Linked DNA regions of Lytechinus pictus. The protein of the gene in region 2 interacts with the protein of the main gene of each other region in a pairwise test. Links are inferred from orthologs where the notes say so. Each region holds a gene or a part of one and is shown on either strand. Other genes may lie near its edges.

What was found.
Region 1: the proteins of cysteine protease ATG4B-like (region 2) and gamma-aminobutyric acid receptor-associated protein interact in binary tests that used the Caenorhabditis elegans proteins (3 or more experiments, as listed by UniProt). The link is inferred for Lytechinus pictus from reciprocal best matches to the Caenorhabditis elegans genes atg-4.1 and lgg-1.

The regions. Positions count from the first base shown.
Region 1 is NC_087258.1:11,680,467-11,691,643, reverse strand, and holds the start of gamma-aminobutyric acid receptor-associated protein, read left to right. Parts: upstream 1-6,724; 5' UTR 6,725-7,030; coding exon 7,031-7,120; intron 7,121-11,177. UniProt on the Caenorhabditis elegans protein: Ubiquitin-like modifier involved in the formation of autophagosomal vacuoles (autophagosomes). When lipidated mediates tethering between adjacent membranes and stimulates membrane fusion during autophagy. Recruits lipidated-lgg-2 to maturing autophagosomes.
Region 2 is NC_087260.1:27,170,693-27,182,046, forward strand, and holds the start of cysteine protease ATG4B-like, read left to right. Parts: upstream 1-6,582; 5' UTR 6,583-6,597; coding exon 6,598-6,724; intron 6,725-8,136; exon of another isoform or gene 8,137-8,984; coding exon of another isoform or gene 8,985-9,027; intron 9,028-10,563; coding exon 10,564-10,734; intron 10,735-11,354. UniProt on the Caenorhabditis elegans protein: Cysteine protease required for autophagy. Cleaves the C-terminal amino acid of ATG8 family proteins lgg-1, to reveal a C-terminal glycine.

The DNA of each region.
Region 1 (11,177 bases), on a different chromosome or scaffold from region 2:
ATGAAAAAAAATCAATAACTTTTAAGGGGAAGGTGAAATGTAACTTGCCATATCTCCGCTTTATGTCATAAATACGTCATTCATGTATCAAAATGCTGCTGGGTGACAGCTACGTTACAGCAACATTTAAAGAGTGAAATTGAGATATCAAACCTTCAAATTAGGAATACACTAATGACCAGTGTCCATTTCTATCTCAAGTAGATATGAAAAAATTGACACGATGAATTAATTTTTGTGTTTAAATAATTATGTATCGCTCTATAAAACTATACTTGCATTAAATATGCGTTATTCATAAAAAATGAAGATTTTTAAACATTTTCAGATATGTTCTCACTAGCCTGCGGGCTACTATTTACAATCTTGAAGTGCCGTTTGTTTGGGATCCAACTCTGCTTAAATCGATTAGAGTTACTTTTTACTGGCGATATAATCTAATCCACACCAAATTCATTACCACTGGCGTAGGACCCCGCCCTCAAAAATGTAAATGATGGAGCCAGACATGGAGTATGGGGAAAATATCTAAGGAACTGTGCGCGACCGAAGCGATTGAGCCAAAAAATACGTTTTTAATTGATTAGGTTTTTGACAGATTATGACATATTATCCAGAAAATATTATATTTCCTCCTTTTCCTTTCCTTTTCTTTCTTCTAACTTATTTTTTTTATCATGAAGTTTGTTTAGGGGTCAACGGCCACGAGCCCCCATTTTTACAACAGTATTCATTACTGAACATCATAAAATGTAAATATTTCCAAGTCGTTTTCCCCCTCATAGTCTTTTTTATATCAACCCCCCCCCCCCCCCAATAAGTAAGATGATCTCCGCCACCTAAAGAACAAGTATTAAAATGATACTACATGGATGATAGGCCCAGTGATACGACAAACATTTCGAAGTGAAAATCTCTACTTCGTGATAATTTTCAAAGAAGTTTACATTGCAAATTCTGATGATCAAGTTTAATTCTCAGATGAATGTTACTATATACTCAGTATTCCCATTCATTTGAAATGAGTAAAGTAATTGAAGGAATGTCGCAGGTTTTGTTGTATTATTTAACTTCATTTCAATTCAATTAAACATCTATTTTATTCCAATTGACATTTATTATATAAATTGTACATGGAAGAATGCACAAAAACCCAGAAAGCAGATGCCTTTGTCGGAAATCGGGATACCTTTAAAACCATGAGTAAACAACAATTAAAAAGTAAGGGCAAGAGAAGGGAAAGGAAGAAAAGAGAGGAGTAGAAAAGAGCATATAGAGAGGCGAGCAAGCAAGTAGAATAAGAAAGGGCATGAACTTATGATGGAAATGACCTAGGAGTAGATTTAACGCATATTTTAGTGAAGCAGCTCTTTTTTTTTTATTGATCTCCTGCAAATATCATTGAGGAGATATTTGCTCAAAATATTATCCTGGCATATTAAAAGCCTATTTTTACAAGAAACTGTTAAATTAAGTTACCTCACCCTTTTTCGAACTTGACATGTATTTAGAAATATCGTCTTTTGGCATCCCCATTGGAGCAAAAGGGCATTTTTGCTGTATCGTAAACAGCGGAAGCAGTTTTTTGCCTCAATGGGGGCTCCAAAATGGCAGATTTTCCATAAATAGGCAAAATACGAAAAAGGGGTGGGTAACTTTGGCAGGCCTCTAAGGGATAGGCTTCGACTTCCTAGCATTTCTTTATATGCAGCTGATAGGGAAAAAAGTACTCGTTTGTCTCCAAATAGTTGTAAGACGAATTAAGCGGCTTGCCTTACAGCAGAAACAGCTTTTTGTCTCAATGGGGGCTCCAAAATGACAGATTTTCCAAAAAAAAACAAAATACGAAAAAGGAGTGGGTAACTTCGGCAGGCCCCTGAGGGGGTAGGCTTCGATTTCCTATAGCACTTCTTTGTATGCAGCTAATAGAGAAAGAGATAATTGTTTGTCTCCAAATAGTTATAAGACGAATTAAGTGGCTTGCTTTACAGCGGAAACAGCTTTTTGTCTCATTAGGGGCTCCAAATTGGCAGATTTCCCTATAAATAGGCAAAATTCGAAAAAGGGGTGGGTGACTTCGGCAGGCCCCTGAGGGGATAGGCTTCAATTTCCTAGCACTTCTTTGTATGCAGCTGATAGAGAAATAGGTATGTTTTTGTCTCCAAGTAGTTATAAGACAAATAAAGTGACTTGCTTTACAGCGGAAACAGCTTTTTGCCTCATTAGGGGCTCCAAATTAGCAGATTTCCCTATAAATAGGCAACATTCGAAAAAGGGGTGGGTGACTTAGGCACTTCCGTGAGGGGACATATAGGCTTCGACTTATCGCACTTCCTTATATGTAGCTGATAGAAGAATGACTACTCTTTCACCTCCCTATAGTATTAAGGGGATTTATGTGGCTTGTTTTACAACATGAATAGCTTTTTGAATCAATGGGGGCTCCAAAATGGCAGATTTTCCCACAAATAGGCAAAATACGGAAAAGGGGTGGGTAACTTCGGCAGGCCCTTGAGGGGGTAGGCTCAAATTCCCTAGCACATCCTTATATGCAGCCGCTAGAGAAAAGCCTACTATTTTGTCCCCAAGTGATTTCATGACAATAAAAGTGGCATTACTACTTAGCAGAAATGTTCTATTTGCCTCAATGGGGCCTCAAAATGGCAGATTTTTACATAAATAGACAAAATACTGAAACTAGCTGGGTGACTTTGGCAGCCCCCCTGCGCGAGAAGGTTGCCAGCACCTCTTTATTTAAAACAGATATATAAAGGGTTACTCCTTTGTCTTAAAGTGGTTTCAAATGAATAAAAGAGGGTTTACTACATAGTAGAAATGCTATCTGCCTCAATAGGGACTTCGAATTGGCAAATTTTCCAAGAAATATAAAAACTTCGGAAAAAGGATGGGTTGACTTTGGCAGCCACCCCCCATTCCCCCCCCCCGGAGGCATTTCTGCCAATAAACCCTACAAAAGAATTTACAATTTAAAGAAATTAGAAATAAATTGAGTTTGAAGAAAGAAAATGGAATATGGTTGGGATCAGATTATATCCCCAGTGAACAAGAAATGATTATTGATTCATGCAGCGTTGGATCTCAAACTGACGGCACTACAAGATTGTGAAAAGTAGCCCATATATGGTAGTTAAAACATATCTGAAATGTTTAACAAATATTGCCAAAATCTTCATTTTGCTATGAATAACGCATATTTAGTCACATTGTAGTTATATAGAGCGCCTCATGTTTAACAACACAAAATCACTTTATCGTATCAATTTTTTCATATCTACTTGAGATGGAAGTGGATATTGGCCATGAGTGCATGTATTCGTAATTTGAAGGTTTGATATCTCAATTTCACTTTTAAATGTTACTGTTACGTTAGAGCTGTCACCCAGCAACATGTTGATACATAAATGACGTATTTATGGCATATACAAGCGGAGATAGGCCTATGGCAACTTACATTTAACCTTATACCCTTAAAGGTTATTGATTTTTTTTCTCAATTTTTTGCTATTTTACATTGCTCTTTAAATTCGACTGTAGAAAAAAAGTGATACCACAATTTGAGACTATTACCTACCTAGCAGTAATCTAGAGGGCAAGCCTAGAAATAAGCGGGCGCTGAGCGCAAATTCGCGCTCATAAAGCCATCAATAATTGCGCCCATAAAGCCCCCAAATCATCAAAATTTTGACGACCGGGCGCAAATATTTTCCAGGTAATTGCGCCGGCCCGCCGTGAGTGAGCAGTGAAGCCATATCATACATTTAATTTAAATATCTGAAAAGCCAAAATCAAGTAACTTTCAATTTACAATAAGCACAGTTTCAAATTGCCAAGTGCGTCTTTTTTTCTGTACCATAAAAAGTGAGCTACGTCCGTTTTTTTTCTGTAATACATGTGCGCGCGTGCTTCCGGTAGCGGTTTTTCTATACTTCACCATGTGCAATTTCTAATGCATACATTTCCAGTTGGGATATCACAATACTGTGATATAGTAATTCGAATTGCACAGGAGATAAATCCCTGTTCACAGCACATACGATGTGCGAGTCTTATTTCTTCACAGTCGCCGACTTTGCTTGTCAAAACGGAGCCTTAATAATCCAAAATCACTTAGCTTATAGTTGTGAATTATAGCTTTTTAATTTCTTTATTGGAGAGGGGTAAATATCAGACAATAAATCATCAAACAAGGCTCCATCTAAAAAAAGAATAGGAGGACGCCGTGCACTTGAGTGTGGTGTTAGCTAGCCAGTTTGAGCTCATGTTCTCTGCCAGAGCTAGCTCTGGGTGAGAATTCTATCAGTAATGGCCTAAGTGATGGTGATTTTCCGTTTCAGATAGAGTTTAGATTTCATGTTAATTTTTGAAAACTGTCAAAAAACTTTATGATTTCTTCATTGTGATGAATATTTAAGTTATTAATGAATACATTTTCACCGAATTTAGACTCTCCCAGAATGAAGGGCATTTTCTGTGGAGATCTGCGTTTTCAAATAACTTGTGAAAAACGTAAGGTACATGAACCTACAATTCATGTACATAGCCTAGTGTGGCTATGTCCCGGGGGGGCCAGTTCCATTCACGAGTGGATACCATGCGCGACCATGGGGTCTCGAAAAGCACCCTAAACACGTAATTTCCATATTCTGAAAATGCACCCCTTAACAAGTTTTGGCGTGTGAAACCCTACCCTTAACAAGTATTGGAAACAAAACGATACTCTTGGCAAATATTCCCTGAAATGAACCCCTAAACAAGTACAGGAATGTTTTATTGTTACGGGTCCTTCGGTCGTCGGCTTTACCTAATTTGGTTTAGTACGACCCCATCTTCTACACCTCGCGCAAATTGGACTCTAAACACGAAGTGTTGGGGCAAAAAGGACATCCTTTATAAAACATTTTAATTTTAATTTATCATCCCCGCAAATTCGACCCTAAACACGTAAGGGCCTAGCGAAATAGATACCCTTTTTTCATTATTTTTGTGTTTTTGACACCCTTATCACGTTACGTACGTAACGTGCCCTATCGTGAAAAAGACATCCTTTTTACGTGTTTTTTTGGTCGCGCATGGTATCCACTCGTCAATGTAAGTGGCCCCCCCCGGGGGCTATGTGCTGGAATTTGACTAGACTGAGTTAGATATTGATTTCATTTCTTCATTTCTTTAACATAATTTATATGCAATACATGCACCTCAGTCACAATCACATACAAACACTCACCCACACCCGTGATTCTAACCATGAAAAAAAAACCTTAAAAATTATTTTTTTTTTCTAAATTTATCATTTGATCTGAATTCTCTCTTTCTCCATCTCTCTCTCTTTTTTTAAATATTTTTATGTTATTCATTTATTTAGATTTTTTTTTTGGGGGGGGGTTCATGGTTCATTAAAGATGAAAAAATAAATAAGCCCATGTGTGTGTGGTTGTAAAGGGGATGTGGAGTGAGGGTGTCAAAACACACTTAAACGTTTAAATCTGATTTCTTAAATGTTTGAATAAGCCTAATACTTAGCATGCTATTCATGTTAAAAAAATTGCAGGAGCTGCGCTTACTATAAACAAATTTGCGGTGTGGTTCACCGTTGTATATATATTTTTTTAATTGCCCCCGGTTCCTGTAAAAAGCCCGTGAGCCGGGGGCAATTTTTTTTGAAAAATTGCCCCTGGTCTGCAGCTGCTTATTTCAAGGCTTGCTAGAGGGTCCATACTACCCCCCTATGGTGTCAAACCTTTTCTGTGGTGTGGGTTGTACGAACTCCTTAAAGGGATGGTCCGGGCTGAAAATATATATATCTTAATACATAGAGTAGAATTCACTGAGCAAAATGTCGAAAATTTCATCAAATTCGGATAACAAATAATAAAGTTATTGAAGTTTAAAGTTTAGCAATATTTTGTGAAAACAGTCGTCATTAATATTCATTAGGTGGGCTGATGATGTCACATCTCCACTTTCCGTTTTCTTATGTTATTACATAAAATCATAATTTTTTCATTATTTCATACTTGTGTGAATATATGTCTCCCTTTAATTATATTGAAATAAGTTGCAGCAATAATTATCTAATGCACTAAATCAGTTGTCAATCCAATTTTTCTAGTTCTTGGAGGAACAATTTTGAATAAACCTAATTTCATATAATAAAATACAAAAAAACAAGTGGGGATGTGACATCATCAGACCTAATGAATACTCATGACGACTGTTTACGCAAAAAAATTGCTTAACTTTAAAATTCAATAACTTTGTTATTTTTTATCCGATTTTGATGAAATTTTTGGCATTTTGCTCAGTGAATTCTACTCTATTTATTAAGCTATAAATACTTTCAGCCCGGCCCATCCCTTGAAATAGGGCCCCTATGAGATTTTGCTCCCGGACTATATGTTGGTTGTTCCGCTGAACTCCGTTGGCTCCACTCACCAAAATGTGTACGAGGAGAAATTTAAACAAAAATTAAAAATGTTCAAAAACTCCTCGAAACAGACGGCTGCCAGCTGTCTAGCTCTGGCAATGCATGTGAGCTACGGGCCGGGGTGAGCTTTGCCAACTTTATGACTACGATGTTTTGGGGCCGGGGGAGGGGTGTCGAACGTATGACGACTTTGCTATTTTTAGTAACAGTACACCAGCTGATGCGTACAATAATGTACGGGATGGGAATACCCAAAGTGACGCAATTTCGTCACTAGGTTGATCAAAATAATATCCTTCCGCGTTCATATTTAATTGGTAAATGAAAAGAAAAATGCCCTCTTTTGCTGTATAACTCACGGTTTATAATAAAAACGAAATTTTCATGTATTTGTAATGAAAAAAATTCATTCCAATCTCCTGAAAATCACATTTTAGACCTATATTTTACCTGCATGGTTCTCGAGATGAGGGAGACCTTCGGCTCGCCATTTTGTCAACAAAAGCAAATGGTGAAACGATAGACGACGATTGTATTTTGGTATAAAGATCTTTTTCTTCTCAACTTGTAGGTTAACGAATTGAAATGAAGTGGTTATATAAAGAAGAACACCCCTTCGAAAAGAGGAGACAAGAAGGAGAAAAAATTAGGAAGAAATATCCCGATAGAGTACCGGTAAGTAAGGAAATGACCAGTCATCAGTGCAGTCAGGCAGTGACAAATCGTTCGGTTTGTTGTTGATTTCGCAATTGCAATGGGGGTGCATTGGCAGCAATGGCATTACTAGGGCGGCATAACTTATAAGCCAATGGCAATGAGTGCAATAGAAATGCATGCAAATGAAACAGAATTTTAAAGTGAGAAGGGACCTTAACATCATTCTCTCGGGGCAGTAGAGGCGCACGGCCAATGGGAGACTCGGCCATTCCGTGCTTTTGGGAACTGGTAGCCAAATTGAACTTGTACCTCCTTTTACCACGATATGTAAAGAATCTTCGCTTCGGCGATTTTGAAAAGAATTGATGCGAGAGACTTTGTTTACGATGCGAAGCTCCTCACACAACTGGTTACCTCTTTCCTCATGCGATGTTTAACGGGCTCAGTTTGCCATGGGTGGACAAGTTTTCAGATGACATCGACGATTCCGCGGAATTATAATTTTTGTAATTATCCATCTACCCCGCATTTTCCTGCTCTTCGAGACCACTCTGCCACTTTCACAATGTTGACAAAAACTTATATTACAAAATCGATTCACTAAATAAATCACAAACAAGATATATCTGGGGATGAATCACTTTAGTAAACTGTATTATCTACTCGTGAAAATAGGAACCAGCATAGCTGGTTCCCATTTTCACGAGTAGATAAAGACAATTTACTAGTGAAATTTATTTCGTCAGAGTCATCACTGACGAAATAAATCTCATTGGCAATCTCTCTCTATATCTACTCTACAAAATGGGAACCATCTAAGAAAATTCTCCTGAATTATAAATGCTGGTTCCCATTTTCACGAGTAGATAAAGACAGTTTATTAATCAGATTTATTTCGTCAGAGAATCATCACTAACGAAATAAATATTACTAGTAATCTGTCTTTATCTACTCGCTGAAATGGGAACCAGCGTGTACAACTCTATTGAGAATTTTCCACGCTGGTTCCCATTTTGGCGAGTAGATTAAACTAGTTTACTCTACTCGCTGAAATGGGAACCAGCGTGTACAACTCTATGTGGAGTTTTCCATAGAGTTGTACGCGCTGGTTCCCATTTCAGCGAGTAGAGTAAACTAGTTTACTCTACTCGCTAAAATGGGAACCAGTGTGTACAACTCTATGGGGAGTTTTCCATAGAGTTGTACGCACTGGTTCCCATTTTGGCGAGTAGAGTAAAGTAGTTTATTAAATCTAATCGCCAAAATGGGAACCATCTAAGAAAATTATCATGAATTATACATGTTGGTTCCCATTTTCACGAGTAGATAAAGACAATTTGTTAGATTTATTTCGTCAGAATCATCACTGACCAAATAAATCTCATTGGCATTCTCTCTCTCTATATCTACTCTTCAAAATGGGAACCATCTAAGAAAATTCTCCTGAATTATAATGGTTCCCATTTTCACGAGTAGATAAAGACAGTTTATTAATCAGCTTTATTTCGTCAGAGAATCATCACTAACGAAATAAATATCACTAGTAATCTGTCTTTATCTACTCGCTGAAATGGGAACCAGCGTGTACAACTCTATTGAGAATTTTCCATAGAGTTGTATGCGCTGGTTCCCATTTTAGCGAGTAGAGAAAAGACGGCGACGAAATCAATCTTTCTGATCTAAGCTCTTTGAAGGATTACTTTATCTAGAATCAGCGCGCCAGCTGCGGTGAAGCAGTGAACAAGCTCGAAAAGGTAGGTAGGTCATGTCTTGTCGTGAAAAAGTGTCCTTTGGAAATTAGGAACTGGTTCCCAATTTCACGATAATGCCGGAGACTCTCCAATACGGGAGATAATCTCCCATACTTGCTTTGCAAAAGGCAAACAAGAACAAAAGAAACTGCATGCATGCCAAGTCCAAGAAACATTTTTTTATAATTAATTATACAAAAAAGTCAAAAGCGTAATTTTTTCCACCCAAAATTTTGTCTCACTGAAGTCAGAAGCCCATTTGTTGTGTGTGTGGATGACAACAAAAATCCTAGTAATATTAAAACAAAAGTAGATTATGGTGAAAAGGGGTAATTTTTCATGAGGATTCTGCTTTTATTTGCCGCCAAGAGCAAGGTAATCCTTTTGAAGCAAATGTTAACAAAGGAAATTGGTCTCCCAAACTGGAGACTGTCTCTGAAATAAGAATTCCAAATTCTTTACAAAAGTCTCAGATATTGGAGATAATCTCTCTCATGGGAGACAGTCTCCCATATTGGTCGTGCGCCTCCACTGGGGGGGGGGGGGCAGTCAAATATATTGCTGTACACATACGTTGCCAAAAAACACGTTCTTTAAGGGTATTTTTTCAGTTTTGGATGCGGACCACACATGCACTCGTTTTTTAGACCCCGCTCATTAAGGGTATCAAAAACACAGATTTTCCACACAAAAAGGTGATTTTGAAAGACTGGTCAATGGTCAATTGCGGAGTTGAAGCGTATTTAGGATATGTGTTTTTCCCCAAAAGCTTTTTTTTTAAGACTAGCCAAACGTGTTTACGTGAAATTAAGGTATGTTTTTACCCCGGGGCTTTTTCCTCCTGTTTGTGAAAAGTAATTCGGGTTCCTCCCAATCGTCACAGAGAGTTGCTTCTTTTTGTCGTTTTGCTGGGACAGCAGTTGGCCTTTTGATTTGGCTTACAAAATGTCTGCAATCAACAGATCAAGGTAAAGGAAAAAAAATGAAATCCATGCATCATGCCCATGTTGTATGATGAGAGAGAGTATGAAATATTTGAATTTTATCCTGATGTGAAACATAGTTTTATTCCTCCCAGAACTTTGGAATATCCACTCATCCAGTGTAGATCTACATGTACATGGACAAGATCATATCCATTGTTTTAAGATTTTGTGGTTCGGTCAAGAGGGTCCTTAAATTTATTGTCGAATCTATAATAAAAAATAATAAATAGAGCTAGGTCTATTGTATTCATTAAAACAATAGAAAAAAAATTATGAATGAGTGACATAATCAGCTCTCTCATTTCTGAGTTGGGCATTCATGTTTTGAAAAGATGAGCAAAACTTTAAATTGTCATAAATTTCTTATTTTACATCTGATCACGATGAAATTTATGTTCTTCAAAATCTATCATAAAATTGTGGATATTCCACTCCCTATCAACATTAAAGCAGCTCTCTTCATAAGCAGACAAGATCTTCCTCTCAAGCTCACCATACCTGATGCTTCCGTAGACGCTTTCAAATATCCTCGTACTGTGAGAATCTGGAACAGTCTTCCCTTTTCAGCTATCAACACACCTTCCCTCACTACCTTCCAGGCGGCTGCCTTCCCAGTTATCAGAAGTTTGCAGCCACCTGCTGGACTTTGGTTTATATTGTAAACTGAATGGCCATGTTTTTACTTGCACCCTCCACTTTTTATTGTAAATAACCTCCAACGTCACTGTCGGCCATTGACTGCACATGCACCCATCCCAGTTTAGCTTCCAGTATGAGATGCAAAAGGGATTATTACTTCAAGGTTCAGTGTTAGGCTTGTTTGATTTTCTCTATTGATTCAAATCAACACTTTTGTTGGGTGGATTTGACATTTAAAGAGAAATGCCAGTCTCGAAATGAGTTCGAACAGAATCCAATAAATTTACTACCCAAGTGTTGGTATGTATATGGGCTGATTACTAGCTGATTGGCTCTTGAAGAAATTGCTTAGAAATTAGAAAATAAACAAGGAATTCCATCAAATGTCAGGTATTTTTCCAAGCAATATACATGTAGTGGTCAAAAGTGTTGTCAGTTTTCATCTAAGATTTCACGATTTCACAAAGATAAGAACATACCAGCTCTTAATCTATGATAATGGGGTGACAATTAACATGATTTCAAAGACTTTCTCATGAAATATCTGTTTGCTGCAACTACATTCTATTACCTTAATGTGTTTTTTCAACGAAAAACATTTTGCCTTCACCAAAACTTTGCCTTATATAGTATTGACAACTATCTAGCGCCATGAGAAAACAAGACACATTGCAATCAATCGCATTTTATGATTAATAC
Region 2 (11,354 bases):
AGAGCCAGGTTGAACTCGAATTAGAAACTTATCCATCTCGCACTCCGACTCGACGATGTCGATAATCAGCAGTCACAATCACCAGCTGATCGCATACAATTCTGTGCATGCCTACATAATATACCGTACGATGCACGTGGTCTCGTTACCAGCTGTGCAGTCTAATCGTGCACGCGTACATGTACATAAGCCATGCGGCAAGTGCGTCAACAATTCTAAAAACCCTGTGCTAAAGACTATGCGTACTCCGCATCCCATATTGCATTGCGCGTTTATCCGGTGTTACGGAAGGTTCGGATATTGCATCGACCGTTCAACTTAAAGCTGGCAAGGGCGATATAAAAGATGCGCTTGCTCCGCCGCCGGAGAACGTAATTATGTGAAGTATTTTTTACATTGTCGATGGTATTTTATTGGGGCGATTCTGAAATAAATGGTCGCCCCAAAGCATTGGGTTTTGAGAATTTTTAGGGGTGATTTGGGCTGTCATGGGGGCAAAATCGCCCCTCCCCCCCTGTGTAATTCCGACCCTGGAAGAGGGGGAGATGGGTAAGGAGGGAGAGAAGCAGGAGGAGGAAGAAGAAAAACTTTTACAAGCTCTGTCCTGATGTGTACATTGTATGCTCATTCTACTCACTGTGTAGTTCTATATCTGTAGATGTGTTATTTTATTTTATTTGTGTTGCCGCCCTCTTTTGAGCTTCCCAAGTTATTGAGTGACTTTGTCTATCAATAACTTTAGCATACTTGTGCATAAATATTCTATGTATTTTATTTAATAGGGTTATTGATATTCTTTTCGGGGGGGGGGGCAAGTAAAATATCTGTTGACTAGAAATTAATTAGTTGATTTATTTGTAATGATTAATTTATCTTTGAACTAATTATTTATTTATTTTATTCACCTATTATTGTTATTATTATTATCTTTATTTTGTAAGTTTATCCCCATCAAGCAAACTTTAAACTTTTGAAGGGGTACATGAAAACTCTATCTAGTGTCGGTGATCAATGTATGAGTTGGGGGAGGGGGGATTGTCAGGTTTTTTAGTCAGTTGGTTGCAAATCTGGCAGTTTAAACTTTATCCTCAGTTGTGTCGGGCACTGCTTTGCCATGGTAATGGCATACTATGTATTACAGCAATATATCAGAAATACAGTATCTTGCAAAGTGAATTACTATCTCAGTTTTTGCCTAATACCCATGAGACTTTGCTATGGTTGTGGAATGAAGATGTGCTAGACACATTTTTCATTCAATGAGTTTAGTACTGATTTGCCGTACTACTTCTAAAGTTTCCTTGAGAAAGGAAGAAGACTATCTTGCTTTTCCTGCAGAAGGGGAAGTATTATTAATGGCCTTTGTCTAAATGAGACTTTGGGTATGATTTGTGTTGGAAGGGGGTGGGGTCAAAACAGTCTACAAAACGTAGCTCTTTACAAAATAGATGGAATTTTATAGCATTTTGCACATCTCGAGTTTTGCTTCAGTAGCAAGCTAAAAAAAAAATGGTCATAAGAGCTGTATGTATCTGGAATACAATTTACATAAATCCCAGAGAAAATGGCCCTTCTTTCTGTATTCTTTTTTCCAGAAAACATTTTCAATCCAACCCATACTGTACTTGGTAATGTATTGAGTTCCTTGTGAACTACAACCCTACTCTCTTTATATGAGCGACTCATCAAGGTCATTGGCATTGCGTAAACATGAAGACTTGATTTGTCACAACAAGTGTTGTCTGATAATTGATGAGTCAGTGATCAATGACAATATCTTTTCTGTGCATATGATTGCATCAGAGGCATGGAAGGGTTACTCATATTATACATGTTGGTCCAATGCTTCATGCACAGTCTACATGTACATACATGTAACATTTCTTTACATACTTGGAATGTACTGTAGACAATCTTATTGCTATTGCTACATGAAGTATCTGTACATTTGACAAGAGTCACAAGACTGTATGTACCCATGCTGTGTTAATTTAGTTTTTCTTGTGCACTGCTCCTGAAAAAATTGAAAGGAAAAGCCTACAAGACTGTTTTATATTCCTATGAAACAGTAATTGGCTCGTGATATTATGGAGTCTTTAGTGATGCATCTGTGTGCATTAAAAGTGATTGTTGTGTCAATTGTATTTTGAGTACATGTACCTGGTATTAAATTTGGAAGGAATTTCTGTGCGATGTTTTGTTTTCGACCAAAGTTTACAACCAAATGATTTGTACACGATATTTGTGAAGGTCATTGGTATGGCAGGACCCAGGTCTAATGGAACAGAGATCTTGAATATGAAAGTCAAACATATCTTGAGATCAGCTATTATTCCATTGTTTCCGAAAGCCTAGCATTGTCATTGGAGATTGAAATGCGTGATCATGTGGGCAGGAATTGTACCCTTGATAAATCATGTGAATTGGTATACATGTACAGGCTTTATACAGGGAAGGACCTCATACATGTAGATCTTCTTGCAGTCTTGGGTCAATTTTGTCGTTTGTTGCAATGCTGATTCATGCACTCTCAAGTTGTACATTTTTTATTTATGAATGTTGAGTTTTATGAGTTTTGAGCTGAAACATAATGCACATTACAGCATTCAAATCTTTCCAGGGGGTGGTTAAGAGTTAAATGTGACTTTTTTGTTTTAATAGAGTCATGCTTAAACCCCAACTCGCACATTATTTAATGCATAATCTGATTGATTGATATTCGGAAGTGCAGGTCAAATGCTCATGATCTGACCAGTGCGATGATGCGCTATATACCTCACGCAAATGGCCATTTAATTGTGCAACTCTAAGTTACACTTAACTCTAAATTGTGAAACACCACCCCCTTACATGTATAGCCATGATGCTTTGTTTGGCAACCCTTTTTGTTTGCAAAAATGCATACTTTTGTCAACTGTGACTTCTAGATAGGCCTACATTGTACATTGAGCTTTTAGAATAAGTATTGATATAAAAAATTGTAACTTTTGAATAAAAGATTGATACAGACATCGAATGCTGAGTTGCTAACCTCAAAATTTGTGAATTAGGAGCAAAGAATACATGTATGTTTTTTTTTTAACCATTATGAGTCATTTCCTTTCCTAATTTTCTTGATAAAATTACTGCACAACCATCTGGTGAATACTGTTAACTTTCTAATTTTTGAGCAAAATTATTTTACTTTCCACTTACATACAACAGGTACATGTGTAGGGATCAAGGTCTGTGTATGTTGCGCGATCTGCTCAATACAAGCCTACGTATGTAAATGTCATTTCCTTTGAATATGAATTTTATCCAGATACGTCACAATCTCTCTTACACACAGACAAGAGAAGTGAACTTTAAGATTTACATTATGACATCATGTATTTAAGTTAAAATGCTGTAATCTAGAACATTGAAGTCTATTAGAGGGTGATTAGCAATAAACTTGTGATGTCTAGTACAGTCTAGATTGTGTAATATTCAGGATCTCACTGTCTTGTGACTTGTCAATATAATTGTTTACTCTAAAAATAAAGCCCTATTCTGTTTGTACTTTGTTTATTAGGCAATAAATGAATGCAAAACCTGAGCGAAGTAAATATCTTTTTGTCAATAATATCTTATTTGAAATTTGCATATCCTGGTACAGTTATGTAATTTTTGCCATAGCTTTTCTAATGTATCTCTGCAATATTTCCTGTAATTGGAGCAAATAGTTCCTTCTCAATTTTTTTTTACTTCAATAAAAATTGTCGAAGTTCAGAGCCAACTCATATTCTCTCAACTCAATACAATAGATGTTGTCTGCTTTTGTGTTAAAGTTCCCAGAAGTGCTTGAATTTGGAGAGAATCGTTGAAACTAATATGCCAATTTTAATGCAGATTTTATTTTCATATGTTGGATAGGTCCACAAACAAGCCTTGCCTAAATTCTGCCCATGACATTGCAAAGTTCTTAATCTTTGCAAAATAAGTGTAACAGAGACAGGACGTTGAAGTTAATTAGATGATTTTGGTAATTGAATCCTTGGAAATCTGCTGTAGATAATTAACCAATAAGACTTTCTACCCTTGCCCTGGAAGGATTTGATCAATAGAGGCTTTAATAGCTGATTCATGTAGACTTGAGCTTGGTGCATATACTTTTGCATTGTGTCGTGTTCTGTTGTTTTGTTCTGGAGAATTTTGGATATACAGTATGATTACTGACTGGGAAAGAAATACTTGTGTACCTTACTTACGTCATGTTTAGACAAAATTGGTTTGTGTAGCCCCACATATACCCATTATTGTGTGGAATATTATTTATTGCTTCTGATTTGGATTGCACTTTTTATCTAAAAATAATCAACCATCAAATTAAGGTTTATTGCACTGTACATGTAGGCCTACTGTTTACTGAAAGTCCGCACTACTTTATAGAATCAGGTATTTCAAAATGAATATTATTTGAGCATATAATTTTGTGCTTTTCTAGTCTTGACATGAACTCATCTTTACCTTTAACCTTTCCTGCCAGCACGGATGTAAGAAGAGGAAGTCACGGGAATTGTGATGTGCTTGCTGCCATGTAGCAAAGTTCTACGTCATCAGATTTTACGATTTCCAACTCTTTGCTGTTTTTGTTAACAAAACAAAACAGCCAAATTTGTGCCTTGTACAGCCTGCCGTATTAACATTGTTATGAATTCTGACAAATATGATTAAAGAATGAGTCAATAGTGGTCAAGAGATAGTTTGGACACTGGTATCATTTTGTGCGAATTGGATCATTGGTTACCATGGCAACATCCAGGAAGCTACACCGATCAGGACTGAATATGCTTTCCTGTATGTCGAGGGATATACATGTCCATGTTCCGTGTAAGTTGCATGCATGAGGATGTAAATGATGATCATAATTCATAATATACTTTATAAAGTTACTCTCTGTTATTTAATTAGAAGAATATAGGTGAAATTTGTATATATTGGAATTTGCATTTTACAAACTGACTATTGACTACCGATACCTATTAAAAAGGGGAAAATATTTGTATCATATTTTTATATTTATGTATAATATTTATATCAAAAGTGATTTATTTAAAGAATAGCCCTTTCAAATCACAGAACCTTTGTAGCTACCCAGTAAATTATAAATTGGATATATATAATTGAGAACATTGGACTTGGTTTTTGGTAAAATAGTCCCTGTACAGTATATTATGAAAGAGTTTTCAATTTTTCTTGAAGATTCTGAGGAGATACATGTTTCAACAGTTAACTTATCTGCAGTTCATTTTGTGAGAAGTTCATACTGCTCTGAAGAATAATGACATCATTGCTAAATAGGCCATCATTTGTAATCGACGACAATCATTGCAGATGAAAACAAGTGGAAATTAATCAAAATAATGATTATGTCTCAAGTACCTTGCTATGCGATACTTTATATGAAGAGTAATAGAAACTGAAACAAAGGCTGCTGCTCTTGTAAGCTTCGGTGCATCTTCGAAAGAAAAAAAAATGATGAGGAAGCAAGCCATAATCAATCTTTTGTTAATGATTAAAATATGTTAATATTGTCTTGTAATTTAGTTTTGAAATGTGTAGATCGTATGGTATGATTGAATGATGATGCCACTCGAATCCTTTACAAAGATAACATGTACTTCATGTACTGTAATTGTTCAGGATATGACTGTGGCAGTGCATTTTACTGCATGCATTGACATTGTACTGAACATTGACTTGGATGATGATAACGGGATTTTCTGTTGATTTCTTGGAAGACGATGCATGCCAATACCAAGTCATGGAAAATCGTCGTCATGACTTTGAACGACTGGAATCGCGTGAACATGGTCGCTTCATGGGTAAGGGTCTAATTGCTTTTTGGGAATCAGTTTTGAATTTTCATATTGCGACAGGCCGCCGTGCAGACTGAAACTGGTCAGCCGTGTATTGCGCAATACCGCTGGGAAGTAAAAGTTGCGTTGTCTATGTATTGGCAATTCTTATATGTTGCCTTTTATTTTGTGTATGTTTCATATTCTTAACCATACTGATTTTGATTCGATATCCAGGTTTCACCCCTCTTAAATGTCTTTGAATGGTTAAGCTAGACAAAAAACAAGTTTACATTTTATTGTTGTTTCCGAGGTCAGTATTAGAAATTTTATGATTGATCATGTAAAGCTTTCGAGGAAGATTACCAGTACCAGTCTGAAAGGTACATGTAGAGCGACATGTACTGGTAATCTGCGAATCTTTACAAAAGCATCTTAAATCCACTTTATACTGCTGGCCTTAATCCATTCTCATTATGAAATATTGTCAACATGACTTGACTTACATTGAATCACGGTTGTCCGGGTTGCGCAATATTCTTGAGTGACTTTTACTTCTATTCTGCAAAACAGTTTTAGGGTTCAACGTCATTTCGTTTCGCTCGTGCTCGGCGTCCACATGACTTAATGGTTTGCTGAAAATTCTCTCCCGCCGCAAGTGCCACGCCTATTTCCGATTACAAAGTTTAACACGATTTCCTCGTAGACAAACTGTATTTTCAACACTTGCCGACGATTTCATGCGCAAGACAGTTCTACGTTTGCGTATACTCCGATGTTGCATTTCTGTCTTCAGCCTGTTGGAGTTTGTGACTTAATTGGTTCTATTCCGTATAGTAGATCAGATCACTTGATGATATTAGAATGGATTCATAAAATGAAGAAGAGACACTACAAAAGGGGTATGTACATTGTAATCCTCTCGGAAAAGACTTTGTAAAGATGTTGCAAGAAAAGATTTCATGCAAATTTGATGATATGATATACATGTTTACATGTATCTCTCTCTCTTGAAAATTAGATTAATTTATTACTTCATTTTAGAGGGTTGTATACTTGAGGCCAAGTTCATAATTATTTACCTAAATTTCAAATTGAATATTCAAATTGAAGTTCAATTAAAAAAACGTAAAGAATATTTTCTAATTAGAGATATTAAGAGGTGTACATGTAGCAAAACATCTTGATACGGTAGCATACATAAATAGTGTAGAGATACCGGTAGGAACAAAATACTAAATCAAAATGTTACAGAAATGCCTTGAAATCAAATTTTGAACTCCTTCCCAATGATATTTTTGTGAATTTATATCTTTCTTTTTTAGCTTTTCCCCTGCTAAAACGTGTACATGTACAAATGACATCCATACAGTGTATATGTACTTCTTCATCCAGAAGTCAAATACATGTACATGTATATCAAATCATAAGTTTACCTACAACATAAATCTTTTGCTGTAGACCGCCTTCAATAGCATGACCTGCTTTACATATGATACTTTGAGGTGTACATCAAAATACGGGGGAGCAGTTTATAAGGAAAACAAAAATAAAGGGAAAACTGATATTAGACTTTATAGTGATTTGGACTTTGCACTCGTATTATTTGAGGAGATTAGATTGAACATGGATCAAAACATTGAGTTCAAGTCACATGTTTATTATTAATGAAAACGATGGGTTGCTTATTACAGGAAGCTTGAAGGGAAATATCTCTTTGCCCTACAAAGGACCAAGGTTTACTGACGAGGAAAATACATGCAGTGAGAAAGAATATTTCACTGTGATATTAAAGTGTTGAGTATCGGTACATTCATTTGGTGAAATGATAACTTAGAAAAAAAGCATTGGAAAATAAATCATACATGTATGTTAGGGACATCATCTTAGCCACTAGAACTATTGTTTTATAGTGAATGAAGAATGAATGGAACTTGTGATTTTAAAAAATTTTAATTTCAAATAATAATAATAATTATTATTATTATTATTATTATTTTTTTTTTTTGGGGGGGGGGTTATGGCTTAATTTTGTTTTCTACACAAAATACCAGCTACTTGTACCAGTACTTGATAATGACTGGTATTCATTCTGACATACATTGCAATACAACATGCCAGCATTATTGGTGTTTTGTATGTAATTAGTCCTTTAATCATATCTAATCTTAAATCTATCTGTTGACACCAGTTCTCCGTGGTCTTTATCAATATCATGAACTTTGGCCAGGTGTTGCTTGATATCATTATTATTATTAATTACATGCATGTACAGGTATACATGACTCACTTCTTTCCTACATGTACATATTTCAGTGCATTTTGGAGAATTGTAAAGCCAAGGATGACATTTGTGTTGTGGGACTGTTCTTAAAATTAGAATACCGTGATGCCACCTACTCACCATTTCATGTGTATTTGACACATAGGCAAACAGTGACAAATCTGCTAATTTCATTGTAAAAGTAAACAGTTTTGTTGAGTAACAATCGGGTAACAATGAACATGTACACTGTATGTAAAAGGATACCACACAGGATTTAATCAGGATTTGTTATTGCTTGCACGGATATTTGTGATGTTGAACACATACAATTGCACTGTACATTGAAAGATTTATAATTGAACATTTTGGAGACTGCAGTTGTGTACCAAATGAAGTTTGAACAATCTTTATGATGCCCATCTGTGATGTGGATAATTTGTGGGAACTTGCATAAGTTTACTTGTTCCATCCATGTAGCTACTGTGAGAGATTTTTACATTTTGATGCCAAAACATAATCAGTTTGACTCCATCATTCAATGCTTACATAGTTTTCAATGACAAAGTATGTGGATTTAGTGTGTTTTTTTAATACTGATCGGCTCCAGGATTGATTGAGTACTCATGAACATTGCAAATATAGAGAGGAGTCAGAGGACTTGTTTTGTTAGCACCTTGCATGTGTGTCTGAACATTTTTTGCACCAGAAAAGCCCAGGATATTTGTTTTCTTTTAACAATGATAATTTTGTTGCTACCCGGATTGATTGATCCGTCGTCATGAATATTATTAATCCAACGTATGAGAAAACTTGTTTTTAATAGTACTGTGCACCTTGCACTGTGTGTCTGAATTGATTTTTGCACCAGAACACTTTTTATTACACTGCCAAGAGCTATGTCTTTCTATCCTGTTAATATTTATTCAAGTATAGACTTAGGCAAGTATGATGTTCCTTGTAGAGTAGAGGGTAGGAGCAGATGCATAAATTGTGTTGTTGTTTTTTTCATTTATTTTTGTAGTCTGTTGAACTGAAAAAACAGTGACAATATTTTTCAAAATATTGCTCTGTACAGTTCAAAGTCCCACTCTATATATACTGTACACTTCAGTATGAACAAAAAAAAAACAATGACATACAGACCTGTGCACAATAATTCTTGAATCATTAGAACATTGAATGGAATAAAATAAATGATTAAATCAAGCAAACATTAAAAAAACTAAGTTTCTATAAAGATTCACACGTTATAGCAGGGTTCCCACTTCTCAGCCAATCAGGGAAATCAGGGAAAATTATTTTACTTTTTTCCAGTCAGGGAAAAATCAGGGAATTTGATTTTAAAAATACCTCAAATCAGGGGAAGATGCGTGACTGAAATGAGGGAAAATTAGGGAATTTTGATCAGCCCAAAAGTCGAAAGCACGGTAGTCAGTCAGACTCTGTTATATTTTGTTGCATATCAAAACAATATCCATTGAATGACTGGTTATGGTGGTACTAATTATTTTTTACATTATTGTTTTTATACTGAAAATATATGTAATTCACTGCAGCAACTTGCGAAACTGGAATTGGGTTTAAATGATTAATCAGGAAATTTATAAACTTCATCAGGGATCCAAAAATCAGGGAATTTTGTTTTCTTGAAGAGCTGGGAACCCTGTATAGTCACTTAATTTTCTTTTTAATAGTATTTTATTACATTTTGAATGATTCTATTATATCCCTTTGTTCATTCAAATTTGTTCAAATTATCAGCCTACGTGTTTGTAAGCAGTATCTGGTGAAGACAGTTCTGTGCAACTACATGTATACATACTTCTTGATATGCGTACGCTATGTAGTTGTACAGGAAACACATGTATACTGTTTATGTAGTTGTACAGGAAATACTCGCTGTTAAAGTTGTATATTGCCTGTTTTGGTGCTTTCATAATAGTAACAATTAGAAGTGTACATGTACATATAGAATAATTGTTTATTTCTTGGGTTGACATACATGTACATGTACATGTATGTATTGTATCACAATCAAAGTTTCAATAGTTATATTTCTTTATGAAACAGGTCCCCAGATTATGCAAAAACATATTATTTCAATACCTCTCTTTAAAGAAAGTTGAACAGATTTTGATTGTCATAGATTTGACTCAAATTGTATATGTGCCAAGAATCTATACAGTATAGTGCTGTATGTATATTATGTGCATGTACAGAACATTGATTGATTGCATTGCTTGAAAATTGACTTAGTATTTGAAAAGTAAATATCAAAGTTGCAGGTACTTGTGCATTGTCACAATTGCACTGAACATGAAATACAGGCACATGATACTTGTGCATAATACCTGTAGTGCATGAGTGATTGTATAGGTACAATGTGATACTAGGCATTGTAGACTTGCATGTTTAGACTAAAGAGATTAGTACCTGGACCTAACATGCCACATTTGGTCTTCTATCCCCATGCAGCATGTGCAACCTATGAGAGTGGTATGGTGGCCTTTGAGGACTTCCCCACGGACCTAGGACCAATCTGGATCCTCGGGAAGCAATATGACCTGACGCAGCACCAGCTAGAAGCCAGGCTGGATGTCCTATCAAGGTTGTGGTTCACGTACCGCAAGGGGTTCTCAAATATAGGTAAGAGATCGATTCCCCTCCTTCATCGATGATTGATCCGCAAACTCCATTCCTATTTTTCTTTAATAGTGTTCCCTATGAATCTTTAGACTTCTCTAAGAAATTCCTTGGAAGAATTTGACCTTAGTCACCACCAACTAGAAGCCAGACTTGGATTTTTCTCAAGACTGTCATTGTCATATGTAAAAGGGTCTTTCAGATATACATGTAGCCCTTCCTCACCAGTTGCTGCTGAGCCCATACCCCACCTCTGCCCTCTATACAGTATATCTCCCTTTTAATTAGATTATTTGAAAGAATTTTTCATATACTTGTAAAAAATATACAGAAGTTTATGATACCATGGACTATCTCATTTGCACATCACTTGTGCTGTGCATAAAGTGAAACTTATCTTCCTCATTTCACATCCAATTTCAATGAAATATTCAGTGTTATTTTATGATTGTTTTAAATTCCCTATTTGTTTACCTTTTGATGGGGTAGACCTGACATTTATCCATTTTCAAGACTTTGGCCCGTATTCTGAAGTCAGGTTTAACTTAGACCACGTTCTAACTCTGTGCTAAAATTATGGGAAGCCAAAAGTGTCAAAATTTTTTATTGAGTTGTATGTTTCT